Linked DNA regions of Cricetulus griseus. The protein of the gene in region 2 binds, or shares a complex with, the protein of the main gene of each other region. Links are inferred from orthologs where the notes say so. Each region holds a gene or a part of one and is shown on either strand. Other genes may lie near its edges. The genes, in order: Sirt3 and Acss1.

What was found.
Region 1: the proteins of Acss1 (region 2) and Sirt3 are in contact, whole or in part, in a crystal structure (PDB 3GLT), measured with the Homo sapiens proteins. The link is inferred for Cricetulus griseus from reciprocal best matches to the Homo sapiens genes ACSS1 and SIRT3. Residues at the interface, in NP_115890.2 of Homo sapiens: Ser640, Gly641, Lys642, Val643, Met644, Arg645; in NP_036371.1 of Homo sapiens: Gly145, Ala146, Gly147, Thr150, Pro151, Asp156, Phe157, Arg158, Ser159, Glu177, Phe180, Gln228, Asn229, Ile230, His248, Ile291, Val292, Phe293, Phe294, Gly295, Glu296, Pro297, Leu298, Gly319, Thr320, Ser321, Leu322, Glu323, Val324, Glu325.

Annotation. Positions count from the first base shown.
Region 1 is NC_048596.1:60,311,516-60,315,900, reverse strand, and holds the start of Sirt3 (NAD-dependent protein deacetylase sirtuin-3, mitochondrial), read right to left. Parts: upstream 2,899-4,385; coding exon 2,844-2,898; intron 1-2,843. Other genes in the region: Psmd13 (26S proteasome non-ATPase regulatory subunit 13), read left to right, coding at 3,559-3,653.
Region 2 is NC_048599.1:29,026,976-29,031,220, reverse strand, and holds the start of Acss1 (acetyl-coenzyme A synthetase 2-like, mitochondrial), read right to left. Parts: upstream 3,068-4,245; coding exon 2,755-3,067; intron 1-2,754. UniProt on the Homo sapiens protein: Catalyzes the synthesis of acetyl-CoA from short-chain fatty acids. Acetate is the preferred substrate. Can also utilize propionate with a much lower affinity. Provides acetyl-CoA that is utilized mainly for oxidation under ketogenic conditions.

The DNA.
Region 1 (4,385 bases), on a different chromosome or scaffold from region 2:
GCCCTGAATTCAGGACCATCAGCCTCACACTGAGAGCTGAGACACTGGGCCAATTCTCCCATCAGATGGCCCTAATGACCAGGATAGAGGCCTCTCCAATCAGATGGTGGAACAGATTAAACATCAAATTGGCCCTCCCCAAATAAATGGCTAAAGTTAATACAGCCATAAAGCAGGCAACTAAGAGTATGTCTTTTACTCATAATACAATCAAGAATAAAGATGCTAACAGTACATCTTCAGACAGGGCAGTTCAGAGCCTCTCTTCTAGCAGGATGATACCAATACAGGGTTTACTCTTTGTCACTGCCTTTGCTCCTTACAAAACTGACTTCTCATCATGCCACCTGCTTTCCCAGAAGCTCTCCTCACACCATTGCCATTCTAGTGACAGTTCTAATCCTTCATTTTAGCCAAACAAAAGGCTTGTTTGTTTTCATGTCCTAAATCCTAGTGATTCTAAGTAACCCTGTCCCAACCAGCATATTCTGCCTGAGAAGCATGGTCTCCTCTTGGGAGTATCATAATCCCACAAGGTCAAATGTTTGCTGAACCCTAAGGATAATCACTGACCCTCCTCTTAAAGGCAACAGTGCTGGCTCCCTCTCCTATTAGGGTGTCTATCAGCTCTCTCCTCTGTGCACCTGCAGTACACAGCTGCCCTATCCACACAGTGTTCAGTTATCCAGGGACTTGTGTGCCAACAGCAAGCCAGGAGTAACCCTGCAGCACCCTGAGCCTCAGCTGACAAGCTCAAAGCAAGGAGGCCAAAGATGACTTTTGTTTTGTTGCTGTTGCTGGTGGTGTTTTGTTGTTCTGGGGGTGAAGAGGCAAGAGCTTTCTCCCAGAATTACATCCCAACTCCTAATTCTTAGTCTGATTTGGAGGAACCTATGTTTATAAACCTCTCACCAGAGTGTACAGAACAACAACAAACAGGAGAAAGACCTCAGCTCCTCCCACACTGCAGAGATGGGCTTCTAAAGAAGGTCCTTCTGTATCACAGTAGGGTATAAACGCACTTTACCAAGGTCCCTCTGCTGAGCCAAGGCAGTGAAACCCTCCAAGGAGCTCCCAGTGAAAACAATAAAGAATGAGGAAAAGAAAGCTCTGGCTCCAAACCCACATCCCTCCCATCAAATACCCGAATCTCACATAGCACCTAGGACGGTTCTTGCCCTAACATTTGCTGAACTCCTCTTAAATACAAACCATATGAGAATACAAAAGGGTCAAGAGAAAAGTTGTGACCATTGCTGAGTGCCTGACAACTGCCAGATATCCACGTCAGGGCACATAAGGGACATTTCTTAGTCACCTGCCCACAAAAAAAAAAAAAAAAGTTTGCAAAGTCACTGACAATATCTAAAACAGATTTAAGGTATAACTTAAAGTACATTTACATGGTATAGAAAGCTCCTGGGATGAAGACACCAGAGGCTGGCATTAAGTAATGTCTGAGATACTATAAAGAGACAAAGGATGAAGTCACCTACGAGTCCCAAAATCTAAAATCAAGAGCAGAAGAAATACAAGGCCTGATCAGGTTTGATCCTCAGCACCAAAAGAAAAAGGGAAAGGAAAAGAAAAAGAAAAAGAAAAAAGAAAAAACAAACAAACTTGTACATCATATTGGTAAACTGCTGTGTGTTGTTTGAGCTACTGAAAAGCTGGCTTTGGGGGCTGGGCTGACAACTCCCATTTCTGACCCATGTTGGTCTCAAAGTCCAAGGTCTGGATGGGCTGGCTCCCCCAACTGTGTGATAGGAAGGGAAAGGAACAGCAAAACAACCCAAGAGTAAAAGCACTGCCCATGAGAACAGCTAGAAGGTGATCCAATTCCAGGAGGTTCCTATCATTTATCCCAGCATGTAAAAGTGCCTACAGAGGAATCTCAGACACCAAGGAAAAGCTCATCTGGGAACTCCAGTTGACTATCTGAACTTCCTCTGTCGGTTTTTGTTGGATGCAGCAAGTGTCCAACTTGATATTGTCTCTCTCTCTCTGTTGCTATTTGTTCCTTTACTGAAAAACTTCAGCAAACGGGGCACTCTTTTCTGCCCTCGACTCTCTTTACTGGAAGCTCCACCTGGCTACCTTAAAGGGGTTTCCTCAGTAGATTTCTACTGGATTTTTTAAAAATATCCAATGTGATGATTTCTCTCTCTTAATAAACTCACTCATTTGAAACTGAAAATAAGCCTATCATAGACCATTCTCAGGACTATACAAAACATATTACTATTCTGCAGACAGTATGACTGTTAGTGAAACTTTAAACTCACAACCTTCATGGGGGACAATTAAAACATAAATAACAGCTGGATGTGGTGGCACATGACTAATCTCAGCAGCTGGAGTTGGAAGGAGGAGGATCGGGAGTTCAAGGTCATCCTCCTTCATACTGCCAGCTGGAGGCAGGTATCGACTAGGAGACCCAGTCTCAAAACAACACAAACCACATAACTTTACACAAGGCAGTAGGTCTACTGGGAATTCATGCTCAAAATGGGGTGCAAACAAAGTTATTCAAAACGTCGTTATTTGCAATAATACGAGATTAGAAACTATTTCGATAAGGAAATGGTGACATAAAGTATGAGACATCCATACAAGGAACTTCCACAGAACAGTTCAAAGACTGTGCTGCAATGGAAATAGCTACATTAAAAAAAAAAAAAAATCTTTAAAGAGATGAGGTACTGATGAGGCCGGTCAGTCGAGCTTTGTGGAAGAGCGCACCTGCCAGCTTCTCACTACCGCAATTGCTTTCCGCTGCCCGCCCCTAAAACACCTCTGACAGCCTATCTGAGGGACCCCGTGGCTTCCCCGCCGTGGCTCACCTCCCGGGCCCCACAGTCTGAGCGCGGCCAAAGCCAGTCGACCGCTCAGCGCCATGATGCTCTGCTGGGAGACGGCACCTAGAGGGTCAAGTGCCATCCGAATCCCCGCCCCCTTGCGCCAAGCCCCGCCCGATACCCTTACCCCGCCCCCTCGGCCAGGTCCCGCCCCCCAGCACCAACGCTCCGCCCCTCACATGGTGCCCAGCCCGGCGCCCCCGGCACGTTAACCCGCCGTGCCGAAGGGGATGTGTATGCTCGCTGCGGCCAGCTTCCCGCTCTGTGAGACTCTGGCTTATTGGTTGGGAAGCCAAACTCGGAGGCGTCATCGTTTTACCCTGCGCTCGACCTTCTAGACCGGGTGGATGATAACTAATGCTCTCTGAGCGCTTCCCGCGGTCAGGAATTTGATCACACCTAGTCCTCGCCGGACGCCATCCCAGTTTGAGAGGACCCACGTCGGAAGACTTGAGACCACTCGGGGACCAGCTGTCCCCGGGCACCTCTACGCTAACGCCTCAAGGGCGGGGCCGAACACGCGGGACAAGTTTGGCCCAAGCCAAGAACGCGGTTACCTTGACGACCGCGATCGGCGGGGCTACTGGGAAGCTCCCGGCATGCCCCGCGCAACGCGGTGCCGGAAGTGAGCGAGCATTTCCGTCCGCCATCCCTGCCGGTTCCGAGTACTTGGTGTTTCTCTTCCCAGCTCTCTGCAATCATGAAGGATGTGCCGGCCTTCTTACAGCAGAGCCAGAACTCCGGGCCGGGCCAGGCCGCCGTTTGGCACCGTTTGGAGGAGTTGTACACGAAGAAGTGAGCTCTGCGGCGTGGGCGGGAGGGAGAGGGCTCTGGGAGCAGCAGGAGGCTCTGAGCAGCCCCGAGGGTCAGGGAATCAGAAGAAAAGGAGCTACAGCCAAAGGAGCAGAGCTGCTTGCTACCAGGGTTCTGAATCTAAACCCCCTGCTTTGCAGCCTTACCGGCTATGACAGACTGTCTTAACTAAAGGGGGGCCCGGACTGGCCTGTGATGGTAGCTCTTAATTCAAACAAGCAAATAGTTTTGAGGCTAGGGTGCCACCGCGTCTGGGTCTGCCACAGACCCTGGTAACTTGTCCTAAGCCGTGGTGTGATTGTCTACAGCCTGCAAATTCTTCATGATTCTACAACCTTTGATTCAGCCCCCATTGTCCCTGCTTTCTGTTGTATTTCACATTGGCCTTTTTGCCACTGGAGAGACCTTAGTGTTTGAGTTTGATTGGAAACGAGATGGACTTCAGAACAGTTACAGATTGCTGACATTGATCTAGAGCTTTCCCTGAGGAAACACCTTTCCACAAAGATCCTTTCCGTTCGTGTGTTTTGGTGGTATTCAGCAGTTTTCTGCTATTAGTGTTTTCAAGAGACGTTTTCAGTGTTGAGTATCTAACTGCCTGTGTGGGCTAACATTTTGTATTCCCCAGAGCACTTTATCTGCACTATTAAATAGTAGCCTTTAGTCTTTGTGTGAAATGTGCTACATCAGTGTCCTAAAAATATGTATATTGGC
Region 2 (4,245 bases):
TACTGGGGAGTTCAGGGGATGAACCATATTCCAAGCACAGCACCAGTTTGGGCCCCAAAACTAGGAAGTGAGAAACTGGCTTGAGACAAAGGGTGGGCCCTGTCCAGAGTCCTGACCTAGGACCTCAGAGGGTAATAAAATGGTCTTGTATCCTGCAGCACTGCTAAATTGAAAGTACGTAACAATGGTAACTACAATAGTGTTCCAGGACACACTCCTATCTTTAGTTCACATATAAGGAAACGTGGGAAGTGCAGCACAGTATGAACTGAGAACTCAATGTAGCTCAAAAGGCACAGCTGAAACCACCAAACTATGCTGAACCAAGCACCTGCAGCTGGAAGATGCCCAGCCAACAGGTTTCTAAATCTAAGGGTCTAGAGAGGGCCACAGAATTTGCATTGCTAAAAGCTCCCCAAGAAGGCTGCTGGTCCAAGACCATGCTTTGAGAAGCATTAGTCTGGATATCCCTGAAAGGCCAATATCGTCACTCACACTTTTTGGAACAAGCTGGCATTGTCACACAAGACAAACAAATCAGACCCAAACAGTTCAACCACTTCCCAGCTTTCTAGGTGGCTCCCAGGGCAGCTGCAGTCTGTCCCCTTTTCACACTATGACCTCTGGGGTTTGCAGATGCTGGTAAAGGACAAAGATGCTGCTGATAGATTGACAGCCAGGCATTCGGAGAAGCTGCTTTTCCTACAGGTCAGCTTGCTCCCGGCTCCCACTCTAAAGGTGGAAGAACAGAGGCCAAAGAATTCCATGAAGACCACACCCAAGCCTCACCATAAGGTCAATACCATTCCTTATCAGCTGTAAGCTTGGGTGTCCCCTTGGCTTTGGCCTCTTAAGCCCAGGGGGATTTCCAAAGAAGCCACACACTTTGTGCCCTCTTCCTTCTGCAAACTGCTTTACTCACTTCAAAGGCACATTCCATCAATTCTACAGTCCCAGGAACTTCTTCCCCCAAGTTCAAGATTTTGCTGACTCAAATCTAAAGGCAACACTTATCTAGTAAGAGACTCATTTAGATTAAACTTGCCAAGTAATATACAAAATGGGAAAAATATGACTGGTCCAAAGTTTCTTTAAGGTGTTGTGCTTTAAAAAAAAAAAAAAACAGACACCACCTATAATTTCTGGGTATAGTAATTCAAAATTGATAATGGCTTATTATTGATTACCAATAAGTCTGGACAAGGTTCTGCATCTCCCAGCACAGCCAAGTATTACTTCCCTAACTACAAATGGGGAAGCTGAGATGCACCAAAGTTAATGCAATGGATGCAGCAGACACCAGATCCCATCCTAACCTGTGGTCCTTGAACAAAGCATTGCCATACCAGGGTGGCATTCAGTTTTTCTTTCTTTCTTCCTTCCTTTCTTTCTTTCTTTCTTCCTTTCTTTCTTTTTGCAGATTTTTTATTTGAATTAGAAACAAGATTTTTTACATGACAATCCCAGTTCCCTCACCCTCCCGTCCTCCCCTACCACCACCACCACCCCAATAAAACCCTACCTATCACATATCCTTTCTGCTTCCCCTGGATGGTGAGGCCTCCCATAGGGTGTCATCAGAGTCTATCATATCCTTTGGGATAGGGCCTACGCCCACCCCCGTGTGTCTTGGCTGAGGGAGTATCCCTCTAGGTGGAATGGGCTCCCAAAGTCCACACCTATGCTAGGGATAAGTACTGAACTACTGCAAGAGGTCCGGTAGATTTCCGAGGTTTCCTCACTGAAACCCATGTTCCTGGGGTCTGGATCAGTCCCACGCTGGTATCCCAGCTATCAGTCTGGGGAGCAAGAGCTCCCCATGCAGTTTCTTTCTTATGCATCTCTGACCTCACTCCAACCCCACTGGAAGGCAGAAGTCCTTGAACCCCTGCTGTGCACCAGAGGCTCAGCCTGTCAGTCCAGCCCTTCCTTCAGTCCCTGGGACTTCTCAGTGCTTCCAACCCCAGCAGCATGGAATTCAGGCTCATTGGAAAACAGTTAGTGACTGATGTGTCCCTTTTGGAGAACGAGGAGGCTTCATGACCCAAGCTGGCCTTGAGCTCAGCTCAGCTCCTCCTGACTCAGCCTCCAGAGTGCTGGGGTTGTCTGCCTTTAACACTGTAGACGTTTGTCTTTGGGGTGCAGTTCTGAGACCCAGAACTTCCTGCCCACACGCCCCTGAGGGAGGAGATAACCAGTTCCCTCCCAGCCGCAGGCGCGTTCTTCCTTCTGCACCCACCAGGGCTCTGTTTACACTGCAGGGTTTGTCCCCTGGGGAGCTGCTGCTAACGCTAGCTAGCACCGTAGCTGATGGTAACAACCTACACACTGCGTTTATCCCGCTGACCTGGGGGGCCCTGGGCAGAAAAGGTCTGGGTTCTTGGAGCATGCGCTCTCTCCACCTAGGCCTGTCTGGGGTCGTAAGCTGTATGCCCATCGTTCTAGGGAACCCTGAGATTAAAGTCTGAAGAAAGTCCCACCCAGAATCTGCGCTAGGATAGGCCATTCTGATCTCAAACGGGCTACCTTAAGTTTTCAGCTTGAGCCAGCGCTGCACGTTTGGGCGCGTAGTTGGTGCCCTGCTGGCTGCAGTCTCTGGACCGGGTGGGATGCAGGTCAGGGTGACGTGGCACAAGAATTAGAGTGGGTGGTGAAGCATACTGGGGACAGGGGCCAAGGCCTGGGCACAGCTGCTACTGACAGGGGCCTCCCGAGTCTCGGCGGGACGTAGCTGGTCCCCAGCAACCCACTCACCAGACACATTCAACTGGCCTCCCAGGAACCAGCCGATCTTGCCCGTCCTAAAGTCGCAGTCCCAGACAGTGTGGTAGGGGGTGTCCCAAACTAGTGTGTCACGGGCCAGCGGCCCCCAGAAGGCGGCTGGCTCTTGGGCCGCTTGAGCGCTCAACGCAGGGTATGAGCCTGGCTGCGCTGCGAGGGAAACGCTGCCTAGGAGCCGAGTGGCGGTCGATCGGGACACGCTCAGCAACCACCCCGATTGTCCGGAGCGCCGGTGCAGGCCACGCAGCAGTCGCCCCACACCGCTGCCCAGGCTGCGCGCCGCCATCTCGCCCGACGCCCCACGCGAGTGCGGGAGCCTGGGCGCCCCTAAGAGTCTCCACCGCCCCGCCCCGGCTCCGCCTCCGCGGCCACCACCCACTACTCCCTGCTTCGCAGAAGCGGCTTCCTTGAGCCTGCCCCGGCCCCACCTCTTCTCCCTGCCTGAAGAGGGGTGCGAGCAGTGGGGGGGGGGGGAGGGGGGCTGGGGATGGGAGTGGGGGCGGAGTTGCTGTGCGCCTAGTGTCAGGATAGCCCGCGCTTTTGACTTCAGGTTCCTGGGTTTCTGCGATCGCTTCTTCTTGCAAACCAGACAACTTTCTCTGCTTGCGACAGCAGCAGCAAATTATGTGGGCTGCCCAGGCTCCCGACCAGGGACGTGGGCAGCGCTCCGAGATAGGAAGGATTGGATCATGAGAGCGAAGAACACAGATGGTGGGGATGAGCGGTCAGTCGGTTCAGCATTCCAGAGACTGAAGTCAAATCTTTCCTCCCTAGGTGATCTCCTGAGAATGAACCCTTTTCCCAACGGTGCCGGCCTGTACCACCATGCCACTCACACATAACTGACACCAGGTGGACTAAAAGGCTGATTGATAAAAAGCCTGGGGGCCTTCAAGCTGAGAAGAAGATTCTACGAAGGCCGGAGTCTGGTGAAAGTTATGCATGTTACCCAGCTGCCGACCCTTGTCCTGGCAGGTATCGCTTCTTGCCCTGGAGACCTTCGCTGATTTGAGGTGGTGGGAAGCTACGGTGAAGAATAAAATCAATGTCCACAGCATGTCTGGCCTGTTTGACACTATGCATCATCAGCTCCGTCACGGAGATGCAGGTTCTGTTATTGAAGAATCAAGAATAGAAAGAAATGTGTCTCTGCCAACTACTTAAGAAGTGGTATCTGTCAAGAAATTTATCCTTTCATTTAGATTTTCCAATTTTGCGAAGCACAGGTCTTTGAAGTATGACCTAATGATTCTCTGGATTTCCTCAGTGTCTGTTGTTATGGCCTTCTTTGTGTTTCTGATTTTGTTAGTTTGGATATTCTCTCTCTGCCTTTTAGTTAGTTTGGATAAGGGTTGCTTGTCTTGCTGATTTTCTCAAAGAACTAAGAAGTGAATACATAATAAAAATAAACACTAAGGGTGGGGGATTTTCAAGAACTGGTTTGTTGAGTTCTTCAGGCTGGCA